Sus scrofa: one gene and its partner. The protein of the gene in region 1 interacts with the protein of each later gene in a pairwise test. Links are inferred from orthologs where the notes say so. Each region holds a gene or a part of one and is shown on either strand. Other genes may lie near its edges. The genes, in order: RASSF5 and RASSF2.

Evidence for each region.
Region 2: the proteins of RASSF5 (region 1) and RASSF2 interact in binary tests that used the Homo sapiens proteins (3 or more experiments, as listed by UniProt). The link is inferred for Sus scrofa from reciprocal best matches to the Homo sapiens genes RASSF5 and RASSF2.

What each region holds. Positions count from the first base shown.
Region 1 is NC_010451.4:67,179,840-67,185,512, forward strand, and holds part of RASSF5 (ras association domain-containing protein 5), read left to right. Parts: intron 1-3,924; coding exon 3,925-4,046; intron 4,047-5,673. UniProt on the Homo sapiens protein: Potential tumor suppressor. Seems to be involved in lymphocyte adhesion by linking RAP1A activation upon T-cell receptor or chemokine stimulation to integrin activation.
Region 2 is NC_010459.5:13,818,740-13,825,036, forward strand, and holds the start of RASSF2 (ras association domain-containing protein 2), read right to left. Parts: upstream 3,991-6,297; 5' UTR 3,825-3,990; intron 3,636-3,824; exon of another isoform or gene 3,320-3,635; intron 2,406-3,319; exon of another isoform or gene 2,355-2,405; intron 1-2,354. UniProt on the Homo sapiens protein: Potential tumor suppressor. Acts as a KRAS-specific effector protein. May promote apoptosis and cell cycle arrest. Stabilizes STK3/MST2 by protecting it from proteasomal degradation.

The DNA of each region.
Region 1 (5,673 bases):
ATTCATCCTCACCCTCAGGAGAGCACGGGGCACGGGAAAGTCCGTGCTCAAGACACCAACGTTGTTGCCAAAGATGAGGTGCTGGCTGTCCAGGGGAGGCTGAGCCCCATGCCACCCAAGTCCCTGTCTCTGTCCTCATCCAGACTGAGCACCAGCTGAGGGCCATGCGGGACATGATGGGACCAAGGACACGGGTGGGCTTGGCAGCACCTCAAGAGGAGCTATCTTGTGGGAAAGATGGCCCGTGCAGGTTCAAGCACTGAGTCCCAGTGGAATGCGACCCTGACCTGGGACTCTCACAGGTGTCCCCACTCAGGGCACGTGAGGCGGGGCCTGCCTCTGTGTGCAGAGCAGGGCATGGGGACTCTGACTTCATCTTGGCTGGCCTAAAAGCCCGGGGCTTAGTTAGCATTTCTAGGGGCCAGGAAATATCAAGCCATGCTTCCGTGGTTTTGCGACAGTCTGTGATTACACGGTCAGATGGGACAGACCCACTAGTGCTCAAATGTGCTTTTTATACAATCCCGAAGCACCCCTCTTGGAGTCTTCTGGGTCCTAACTCTGTCCAGCTCAGCATCAGACCTGTTTAAAAAAACAAATACAAAAACAACAACAAAAAAATCTCCCAAGGGTTTTGGTGCTGTTTTCAGAATATGTGTGTGTGTATGTCTGTGTGTGTGAGAGCGAGATAGACAGACAGACATGGAGAGATTCAGTTGCACAGATGGACACAGACCGCCTGCTGACATGGAATTGAAAGAGGAGACAGGAGAACTTTCTCCTCTCCCCAGACACTCTCCCCTTTGGCAGCTGGTGGCAGCTCTCACTCCTGCTTCCCACTTGGCATCCGCAGAGCATTCTTCATCGCTCAGAGCGTGGCCAGGAGCTGCACAGGTGTGTCCCGGAGTGGAGCCGGGAACAATGCTGCCCTGTGTGGGTTCTGGCCTTGGCGCTCCCTTATCAAAGCCCTGGCATTTCTGGGCACTGTGGGCAGGGAGACTTGGCCTGCACAACCCCCCGTGCCCTTCACCCGGTGCCTGGGTCTCCTGCTGGGGGCCCAGGAATGCGAGTGGCTGCTGGCAGGGGTGCGGTCCTCCACCCACCCCATCTCCAGTGGGAGCACAGCTTCTCGGGAGAAGAATCAGGAAGTCTAGGCAAGGTTGGGGTCTGAAGGAGGGGATGTCAGTGGACTTGACCTGCAGGCACAGGGGAGGTGAGCGGTAGGGCTTCTAAATGCCACCCTAGGAAGGTGGTCAGGACTTCAGACCATTGAGTCAGAGGGTTGCTGGGTTCTGGGATCCCTTCCTGTCCCTGCATTGGCCAGGCGCTCCCCTGAAAGTATTAAGATCAAGAAATGTGAGCCGGGTGCTCATCCTTGGGGAGGTAAGAAAGGGGGCAGCTGGGGAAAGTGGGGTTCTCCTTCCAAAACGCTCCAAAAGAGTGGGGAGACCCACCCACTGCCACCCTAAGAAAGACTGTGCTACAGCAGCTTTAAAAAGATGATCCAGGGAGTTCCTGTTGTGGTGTAGCAAAAACAAATCCAACTAGTATCCATGAGGATGTGGGTTCGATCCCTGGCCTCGCTCAGTGGGTTAAGGATCTGGCGTTGCTGTGAGCTGTGGTGCAGGTCGCAGACAGCGCTTGAATCCCTTGTTGCTGTGGCTGTGGTGTAGGCCAGCAGCTGTAGCTCCGATTGGACCCCTAGCCTGGGAACCTCCATATGCCGCGGGAGCGGCCCTAAAAAACAAAAACAACAACAAAAAGAGGGTCCCCAGGTGCTGTGGTTCTGGAGCTTGTTAAAAGGAAGGAAAAGAGGGAGCTCCTTGGTGGCCTAACAGTTTGACCCCTGGAACTTCTACATGCGGCAGGTGTGGCCCAAAAAAAAAAAGGGGAGGGGGGAGTTCCCTTCATGGCTCAGTGGTTAACGAATCCGACTAGGAACCATGAGGTTGCAGGTTCGATCCCTGGCCTTGCTCAGTGGGTTAAGGATCTGGCATTGCTGTGGCTGTTGGTGTAGGCTGGCAGCTACAGCTCCGATTGGACTCCTAGCCTGGGAACCTCCATATGCCGCAGGAATGGCCCAAGAAATGGCAAAAAGACAAAAAAAAAAAAAAAAAAAAAGGAAGGAAAAGAGTGTCAGGAGACTGAGCCCAACATAAAGCTGTCCCTTCGTCCCCAGATTATCCAGACATGTCCAGGCTGTCTCCTGCCACAAGCCCTGCCCACCCCAGCCCACCCCTATGTACCGGGTGACACGGTCCAGCAACCTTCTCATTAAGACTCTGGCAGCCTCCCTCAGCAGGGCCTTCTGGCTGAGCTGTGGCACCTCCAGGGCTGGTGACCCTGATGGGCCCAGCAGCTTCTGTGGGAACCAACCTCCAGCCTGAGCCTTGTGCCTGCTGATGGGCTTGGACGGATTTCTTTCACTGCCAACCTTTTTTTCTCTCCCATCCTCCCTGCCTTCACCTGCCCCAACCTCCCGGCCTCCTGTCCCCTTCAACTTCACCTCCCTTCTGCCAAGGAGGCTTCAGAGAGGGCCCTTGGGGAAGCTGGAAACTGCTTGCAACCTTGGCTGTGCCACTGAGCCGTGTGTCATTGGGCACCGTGCTTTACCTCTCTGGGCCTCAGTTTCCCCATCTCTGAGGTAACCCCCCATGGTCTGCTGAACACTGGTCATTGTCTTACTTCCATGGATGTGAAACAAATGTGTGCTTTCCTCCAAAGCCTCATTTGGAATGTTGTCTGCAGGCCATGTCAGCCAAGTTAGAGGAGCCACCTCGCATTTCTAGATGGCACTGTGTCAGAGAGACGTGACAGCCCTTCCTGTTGGTGATCATGCCTTTGTCCCTGGAGAAACCTTTAATTTGTTGGGGTTCTTTTTGTTTTTTGGGTATTTTGTTTTGTTTTGTTTTTTGTCTTTTTAGAGCCTTACCTGTGGCATATGGAGGTTCCCAGGCTAGGGGTCTAATCGGAGCTATAGCTGCCAGCTTATGCCACAGCCACAGCAATGCAGGATCTGAGCCGCGTCTTCGACCTACACCACAGCTCATGGCACGCTGGATCTTTAACCCACTGAGAAAAGCCAGGGATCGAACCTGCAACCTCATGGTTCCTAGTCGGGTTCATTTCTGCTGCGCCACAACACAGGAACTCCCACCTTTAATTTGTTAAGACCCGTTCTCCTCTATAACTGTAATCATCCTTGTGCACCAGGCAGGGCCATTATTACCTGTTTTACAGCCTGCAAAACAAGGCCAGGAAAAGTTAAGTTCTTCCACAGGGATTGGGGCCTCTGATGATTAACATCAATTAGTAGAAAGAGCACCAGCCTGAAGCCAGATGATCTGCCCTTGAGAAAGTCACCCTAGGCCCCAGTTTCCTGTCGGCAAAGTGGCGGTAATCATGGTTGCAGGGTCACACACAATAATGGAGGTGGAAACAGTTTACATACTGGGAGCTCCCATTGTGGCTCAGAGGTCATGAACCCAACTCGTATCCATGAGGATGTAGGTTCAATCCTGGCCTTGCTCAGTGGGTTAAGGATCCGGCGTTGCCATGAGCTGTGGTGGAGATGGCAGATGTGACTTGGATCTGGAGTGGCTGTGGATGAGGCTGTGATGAAGGTCCACAGCTGCAGCTCTGATTTGACCCCTGGCCTGGGAACCTCCATGTGCTATGGGTACAGCCCTAAAAAGAAGAGGAAGACAAAAACAAAAAGGAGATTGCAAATTCTAAACAAAAACTAGATTGCAAACTGTAAAGCACCTATTCACCTTCCCTACTCATGGTAGTTCAGAGAGAGCGAGTCATTCTCATGGTGTTCTTCCCCCTCCACCGCCCTCCAGGAGCTACATGCCGCCTCCCAGGGCCTTTTTCTGGGCCTCCTGTCTGGCCCCTAATCCCTCTGCGGTTCTCTCCCTCCAGACTGCAAATTCACCTGCCACCCTGAGTGCCGCAGCCTGATCCAGCTGGACTGCAGTCAGCAGGAAGGCTCCTCCCAGGACAGACCCTCTCCAGAAAGCACCCTCACTGCAACCTTCAGCCAGGTAGGCGGGAGGGCTCGAGCTCCAGGTTGGCGACAGCCTCCTGAGGTGCCCCCAGGTTCCCCTGTCCCTCCCAGGGGCTCTGGGGAGCATGGGTGGCGAGAGTGTTCCATGTACGCTGGATGTTGGGGGTCCCCTTCTGGCCAGTTGGGGTCCATAGCACACTCTTCGAGTCTGCGCCCAGTTCCAATGTGGGGGGTTTCCCCACACCACCACCCTCTGACACCCAGTGGGTGCCCTGTAGTTCAGCTCAGTGCTGTACTCTGCACCCCCCACCCACCACCTCAGATACCAGTTGTAAGAGTATGTTGTCACCCATGCTTCGGACCAACAGGCTGTAGGTGGGAGGTTGCCACAGCTCTGTCTTTGGGCTCAATGCATTTGTTAGAGCAGCTCACAGAACTCAAAGAAACATTTGAAACTTACTAGATCGCCAGTTTATTATAAAAGGATATAACTCAGGAGCAACCAGATGGAAGAGATGCAGAGGGCCAGGTGGGGGAGGTGCACAAACTTTCATGTCCTCTCCAGAGGTGCCCTCCCTGCTCCTCCCCATGTTTCCCAACCCAGAAGCTCTCTGAGCCCCAAACTTCCAGGACCTTACAGAGGCTTCATTATACAGACATGATTGATCAAATTGTTGGCCATTGGCGATTGATCCACCCTCCGGCCTCTCTCTGTTCCCCAGAGGTCAGGGGCGTCCATCTGAAAGTTCTAATCCTCTCATACTTGGTTGGTTCTCCTGGCAACTAGCCTGCATCCTTAGGTGGGATCCAAAAGTCACCTCATGGAATTCCCATCTTGACTTAATGGTTAACGAACCAGAATAGTATCCATGAGGACGTGGGCTCAATCCCTTCCCTTGCTCAGTGGGCTAAGGATCTGGTGTTGCCATGAGTTACGGTGTGGGTTACAGATGTGGCTCGGATCCCACATTGCTGTGGCTGTGGTGTAGCTACAGTAGCTACAGCTCCAATTCAACCTCTAGCTGGGAACCTCCACATGCCATAGGTGCGGCCCTAAAAAGACAAAAGACAAAAAAAATTTAAAAATAAAACCGACAATTTTAATTTTAAAGAAGTCACCTCGGAATTCCTGTCATGGCTCAGTGGTTAACGAATCCAACTAGGAACCATGAGGTTGCAGGTTCGATCCCTGGCCTTGCTCAGTGGGTTAAGGATCTGGCGTTGCCATGAGCTGTGGTGTAGGTTGCAGACGCGGCTCGGATCCTGTGTTGCTGTGGCTCTGGCGTAGGCCGGCAGCTACAGCTCCGATTCAACCCCTAGCCTGGGAACCTCCATATGCCTCGGGAACAGCCCAAGAAATGGCAAAAAGACCAAAAAAAAAAAAAAAAAAAAAAGTCACCTCATTAACATCACAAGAAATACCTTTGGTGCTCTCATCATTTAAGAAGTTCCATTGTGCCAAAAATGGAGACAGAGATCAAATGTGTATATCTCTGATTATTAATCACAGTATCAGAGTTCTCGTTGTGGCACAGCAAAAACAAATCCGACTAGGATCCACGAGGATGCAGGTTCAGTCCCTGGCCTCGCTCAGTGGGTTAAGGATCTGATGCTGCCTTGAGCTGTGGTGTAGGTCACAGACGAGGCTCAGATCTGGCATTGCT
Region 2 (6,297 bases), on another chromosome or scaffold:
ATCCCGCGTTGCTGTGGCTCTAGCATAGGCCAGTGGCTACAGCTCCAATTCGACCCCTAGCCTGGGAACAGCCCAAGAAATGGCAAAAAATAAAAATAAAAATAAAAATAAAAATGACCCCCTGGCCACCTAGCCAATCAAGTCTGGAGGATGTTCCTGTTCCTTGTGCCCTGTTTCTCCTCTGCCTCCCAACCTCCGCCTTCCCTACCACATCCCCCGTGGGAACCCTCAAACAGCCAAATAAATGAAACCAGTAATCATGGGCCTGTGGTAGCTTCACCCAGCCTTAAGGACTCATTTAAAATTCTTCGGGAGAGGCAGGGAGGTGTTTAAATAGCCCAGTGTGTCACTGGGGTAAATAACTGGACCATATTCTGAAGAGTGGTGGGAGGGGCGGGGAGATACGGGAGGGGATCCCTGTCCTGGTTTTATAAACCCAGCTGGAGCAGCTCTCCACAACTATGGCTTGAAGACAGAGACTGGATGTCACGTTCCATTCCAAGGACACTGCTGAGACCTGCCCCGTTTCTTAGTCTGGGTAGAGGAGGAGAAATGCAGATAAACCCTGAGACTGTTTTGGGATCATCCAGTCTCCCAGGCTCTCTGAGGGATTCTCTCACAATCTGGTCCCATCTCCTCATCCCACCTCCCAGTGAGAACACTTCCTGCCAAAAGCATCCTAGAGAGGACTGAAGGAAATAATTAGGCCCCGGTCCTTTTGTGCTTTGGTGACAGGACCTCTTTCTGGCAAGTCTAGCCCTTGGCACTCCTGCAGAGGTGCCAGGATACTTGGTCCTGGGCACCTCTCCAACCACCTCTCTTGGCCATTCCTAAGCATCTCACGCATGGAAGGCAGACAAGAAGGTTGGCTCTGGAGCACCGGAAAATAGACCAAGAAACCAAAGCAAAACCCAGGGACCGATCAGTTCCAGGTAGGCCAGGATACAAGAGCAAGGAGGAGAAATGAGGGATTGAAAGCAAGGTGTAGGGTTGTCTACCACCTGGGACCAACCCCTAAGATAACACAACCTGGAGAGAGGACCTGAAGCCTAAAACAGAGAAGCCATGGAGAGATGCAGAGAAGTGGACTCTGGGGCAGAATGAGACCATCCGCAGGAAGATGGGGATGCTGCCAGCTGGAAGAACAGCACCGGGTAAAAACGGCTCAGGCCCTGGCCCACTCAGCCAAGTGTACTCCCTGAAAGAGGGTATGACTAGGGACCCCGATCCTCCTCTTAGCCAGGCCACCCAAAGGCATCCCTCATCATTCTAACCAGATTTCACAAGCATAAAAATGAATAAAAATAAGGACAGAGGAACGTGGAAAATGCCTAGGCTGCTCTCCAAATATCCTATCTCCTAAATATTCCACATCTGCTCTTACACTGGTTTTTGTTTTTTGGTTTGTTTTTTTTGTTTGTTTGTTTGTTTTGCTTTTTAGGGTCACACTTGAGACACATGGAAGTTCCCAGGCTAGGGGTCAAATCAGAGCTGCAGCTGCCAGCCTACACCACAGTCACAGCCACAGCAACACCGGATCCAAGCCATATCTGCAACCTACACTACAGCTAGCAACAATGCTGGATCCTTAACCCACTGAGAAAGGCCAGGGATGGAACCCACATCCTCATGGATACTAGTCAGATTCGTTTCCACTGAGCCACAGTGAGAACTCTGCTCTTCCATCTTCTGAAGGAGGAGCAAGACTCACCTTTCAGCCTACTCTGCGCAGGGAATCATGAACTGAACCAGCACAGACTCCCATTTGCCTGAGCAGACTGCATGCTCTTTCATCTCCTTTTCCCAGGGCAAAAACTAGCTTCTTTCAAGCTACCCTACCTCTCCAAGCTCAGCCATCATTTGAGGCCCTCTTGTACAACCCCCCCACTCCCACCCCACTGAACTGTCACAGCTGCCAGGCATCAGGCTGGCCTATTCAAATGAGAAAGCACAGCTGGTGCCCACAGTCATGGCCCCACTCCAGGGTCTCTTGATTCCAAACCGGCACCTCTCAGACTGACACTGCATTTGGACACAAGTTTTTGCTTTAGTTTTTTTTTTAAAAAGGGCTCTCCTCAAAGGACACAATATAGCTTAGCTATGATAATTCCTCAGACCACCTGCAGAAAAAGTTCCAAGTAAAGTAAATGTGAATTTAGGAGTAAAATAAATCCAACCCTGGATTCCTCAATCAGCTGTTCTGGAAAAAAGGCCCAGGCTCTGTCCCACAGCTGTTTAAAAGAATCATTGTTTCTAATTCTTTCCTCCCATTGTACTAAGATCAACTGTGACAGGAATTGTTATTTGTCAGTTCATTGGCTCATTCATTCATTCATTACATGTAAAGTACTTACTATACACCTATCCAGCTGTAGAAACGGCCTCTGTTCTCTGGGAGTATAAGTTCTAGGGACCCAGATTCCGCCCACCTGGGAATAAAGTGCATTGCAGCGTTCAGAAGCCTGGCGCTCAGCTCCTGCCACCGAGGGGCAAAGGTGCGGTGAACAACCCAGGGCCCACAAAGAGCCCCAGGAAGATTGAACCCACCCTCTGTCTCCCCGGTCAGACCACCACGCCTCTCTGCTGTCCCCAGGGCTCTGCCAGCTTAGGAGTTGAGTACAACGCAGGCGCTCAAAATGCAGAAGTGGCCCGGTCGGCCCAAAGCAATTGCCTCTCGGGTGAGAGAAGACGCAGAGGTTCCCAACGACCTCGGATATCAACTCTGGAGGCGGCCCGGGAGCCGGCAAAGAGGAAGTGCCACGAGGACCCAGGGCCCCTAGGCGTCTAGCGCCCTGCTCTAGGCTGGAACCCTCCAGCGAAACGTGCCTTGAACGGGTTAGAAGGAGACAAGATTGGGGTCGGACACCCTCCAGGGCTGTCGGGGCCTGCCATCCTGGCACCTGCCACCCAGCACCTTTTCTCCAGGGTTTCCTAGGGACCTCGGGGATGGGGCGGGAGTGCCTTCCTGACGTCGCCCTTGGCCCGGAGAGAAGGATGGACCCCCAAAGGTCGGAGGGGGAGGCGAGCCCGGAGCCACAACTTTCTCCGGCGAAAGGAGGGCGGGCTGGTGCTCCGCGCCCTCGCTGCCCCTGGGGAGTCCGCACGCCCGGGAACCCCCAGCCTCTGGTGAAGGAGGGAGGAGAATAGCGGCAGACCAGGACTGAGGGGCTGACTTGGACGGGACAGGGGACACCGCGGGAAAACTTTCGGCGAGGCGGAAGAGGGACAGAGGAGAGAGGGCCGCCCAGTGCACCACACCTCGCGCCCCGCAACTCGCCCCCGGAGCCTCGCTCCCCGCGCCCAGCGCCCGGAACCTTGCCTGCGTCCCGAGCCGGCTGCATCTCGCGCGCGCTGCGGGGACCGTGGAGTTGGAAAGTGGGAGTGCTTCGGCCGGGTTTGGGGGGCTGCTCGGCCAGCGGTCGGCGAGCCCGGCTCACTTCCAGCGGGGCTGAGAGAGCTGCAGCCGCGCAACTGGGGGTCGGGCGCCCCGCCCCCTTAGCACCACCACCCCCAGCCCCTCCTCGCTCGCCCGCCCCTCTGCCTTTATCTGCCCCTTTCGGGTCAGACCGCCCTCCCTCCCCGCCTTTCTCTAGCTCTTCTCTACCCCCACCCCACAGCCCTCGCCTTTCTTCTTCCCCCTCCACTCCCGCCCTCCTTCCCTCCCCCCCCGGGGGGGCGGGGCTTCTCCCCTCCCTCCCAGACAAAGCTGTGGCTGCGCGTCCCCTCCTTCCCCGCCCGCGAGTCGGGGCTCCGGCTGCCAGCGCCTCTTCCGGCTTTGGGTGGCGGGGTAGAAGTGAGGGGGTGGGGAAGATGAGCTAGCTCACCTCTCCCCATTCTCTGCGGCCCCTCTCCGAAAGGGACGAGGTCTTGGCCCGACGCGCCGGGCGGTGACAGCCACTTCCAGAGTACAGTCACGCTGCCCTGAGAAGGCCACTCGAGCGTCGTGGATTCTTCAAGCGGAGGATGTGGGGTTTTTTTTTTTTCCTAACACCTGCTTGTTCCAAAAAGGGTTTGAGCTGAGCAAGGCGGAGGAAGTGGGTTTTTTTCTAACACCTGCTTATTCCAAAAAGGGTTTGAGCTGAGCAAGGCCCCTTGGACTTCGCAGGGTGGCAGACGTGACAGCAATGTGAAGGAGGGCAAGTTTCTTTGTCCTCTTCTCACCTCCCCCTCTTAGCCATCCCTAGACCTCCAGGGGCTCTCAGTGCACAGGAAGCCCTGGAGCACCCTAAATGCGGGGAGCCTTAGCTGTTCCCCTGCTCTGATCGCAATTCCCACTCCCCGCCCCCCAACACACACACTCCAGCCCTCCAGAGTTGGTCCCCAGGCTTTTTGGGGTGAATGGGGGACTAAGGGTTAATGGGTAGACAACCCTCAGGGTACAGCTGGGTCAGCTCATCCCTCCTGGAAGCCAAACGTTCTTTATAAATTCATTGTTTGGATCTTGGAATGTGTCTCCCTTAGAAACAATGTTGTAAATGGTGATGTGCTTCCCAGGCTGGCCACAAAAGTCTTTTGAACCCGAAATGCAGCTGAAGATTTGTGCTGAAAACTGTGTCAGCCATCCTGGAACAAGGAGACCACTGATCAGTCTTTTCTACAGGAAAAAAAAAAAAAAAAAAAAATTTTTTTTTCCTTGAGCTGTATAAACACAAAGTTCAATCATTAATTTCCCCTCTCCCACCCCACACTTTGGAATTACTACTCTGTATTAATTAAGCTTCTTTGCTTTGCAGGTAATAGGAACACTCTAAGGGGAATGTATTATGAGGACATGAGAATTTCCCTATAACTTCAGGGTCAGAACTGCAGGGAGAGCTCGGTAAGAGGCAAATCCAGAAACTGGGGGACTTCCAATAACCCAGAAAGCTGAGAATCCAACTCTTCTCTTTTATCACAGATTGACCTTCCCTGCACCCCAGACAAATGACAAAGGGTGGCCATCACTTCATCATTGGGGCTTAGAAATTAAGAAATTTCTTCTTGTTGAAGAAAGCAAACTCGTGGAACTAGAATCTCTTAGTCTCTACTCTAGTCTCCCAGGAAAGCAGCTCATTGGCTCATGTTGGGTCAGGTGACCATCCTATGACCAATCAACTGGGGCCACAGGTGGGCTTACATTGTCCAAATTAGACTGCAGGGAGCCCTGACCTGTTTTTTAAAATACAGATCCAGCGTTGCTGTGTCTGTGGCATAGGCTGGAGGCTGCAGCTCCGATTCTACCTCTAGCCTGGGAACTTCCATATGCCGGGGACCTGGGCCTAAAAAGAAAAAAAGAAAAAAGAGTCCAGTCCTCTCAGAGTTCCTGCTATTGCACAATGGGATCAGCAAAGTGTTGGGAGCGCTGGGATGCAGGTTCAATCCCTGGCCCAGCACAGTGGGTTTAAGGATCCGGCTTTGCTGCAGCTGCTGCATAGATCTTAATTTCACTCGGATCTGATCCTTGGCCCGGGAATTCCATATGCCCTGGAGCAGCCAAAGGAAAAAAAAAATTCCATTCCTTTCCTCTTAAATTTTTTCATCTTGGCAAATGAATTGATTGATTTGTTTGAGACATCAGAAAACATCTTACTTTTCATCAGTTTCCCCATACAGAAAGCACAGGAGAGAAAGGAATAGGCCTTTATCCTTCAAGGCAGTATAGGGACAATATTTCTGTAACAGGGGTATTATTTTGCAAATATTAAACTGATCTATTTAAGCCCAGCCTTAAACCATGTTTTCTTGCAGACTCCACCCTGAGGGACTGGGAAGCAGATGGCCCCAGGGAAGCAGAAGAAAAGTGTCCCTACAACTATCCTCCAGTAGAAATACAATGCGTGCCACAAGTACAATTTAAAACTTTCTAGCCACATTAAAAATAGTAAAAAGAAATAAGTGAAATTAATATTTTATTTAACCCAACAGAGGCAAAATATTACCATTTCAATGTGTTAATAGTATAAATTATTCACTAATAATTTTGCATTCTATTTTTGTACTAAGGCTGAAATCGGGTGTGTATTTACACTTCAGAACATCTCAATTTGGACATTACATTTTCGTCAAAAATACTTGATATGGGAGTTCCCGTAGTGGCGCAGTGGTTAACGAATCCGACTAGGAACCATGAGGTTGCGGGTTCGATCCCTGCCCTTGCTCAGTGGGTTAATGATCCAGCGTTGCCGTGAGCTGTGGTGTAGGTTGCAGACGCGGCTCGGATCCCGCGTTGCTGTGGCTCTGGCGTAGGCCGGTGGCTACAGCTCCGATTCAACCCCTAGCCTGGGAACCTCCATATGCCGCGGGAGCGGCCCAAGAAAT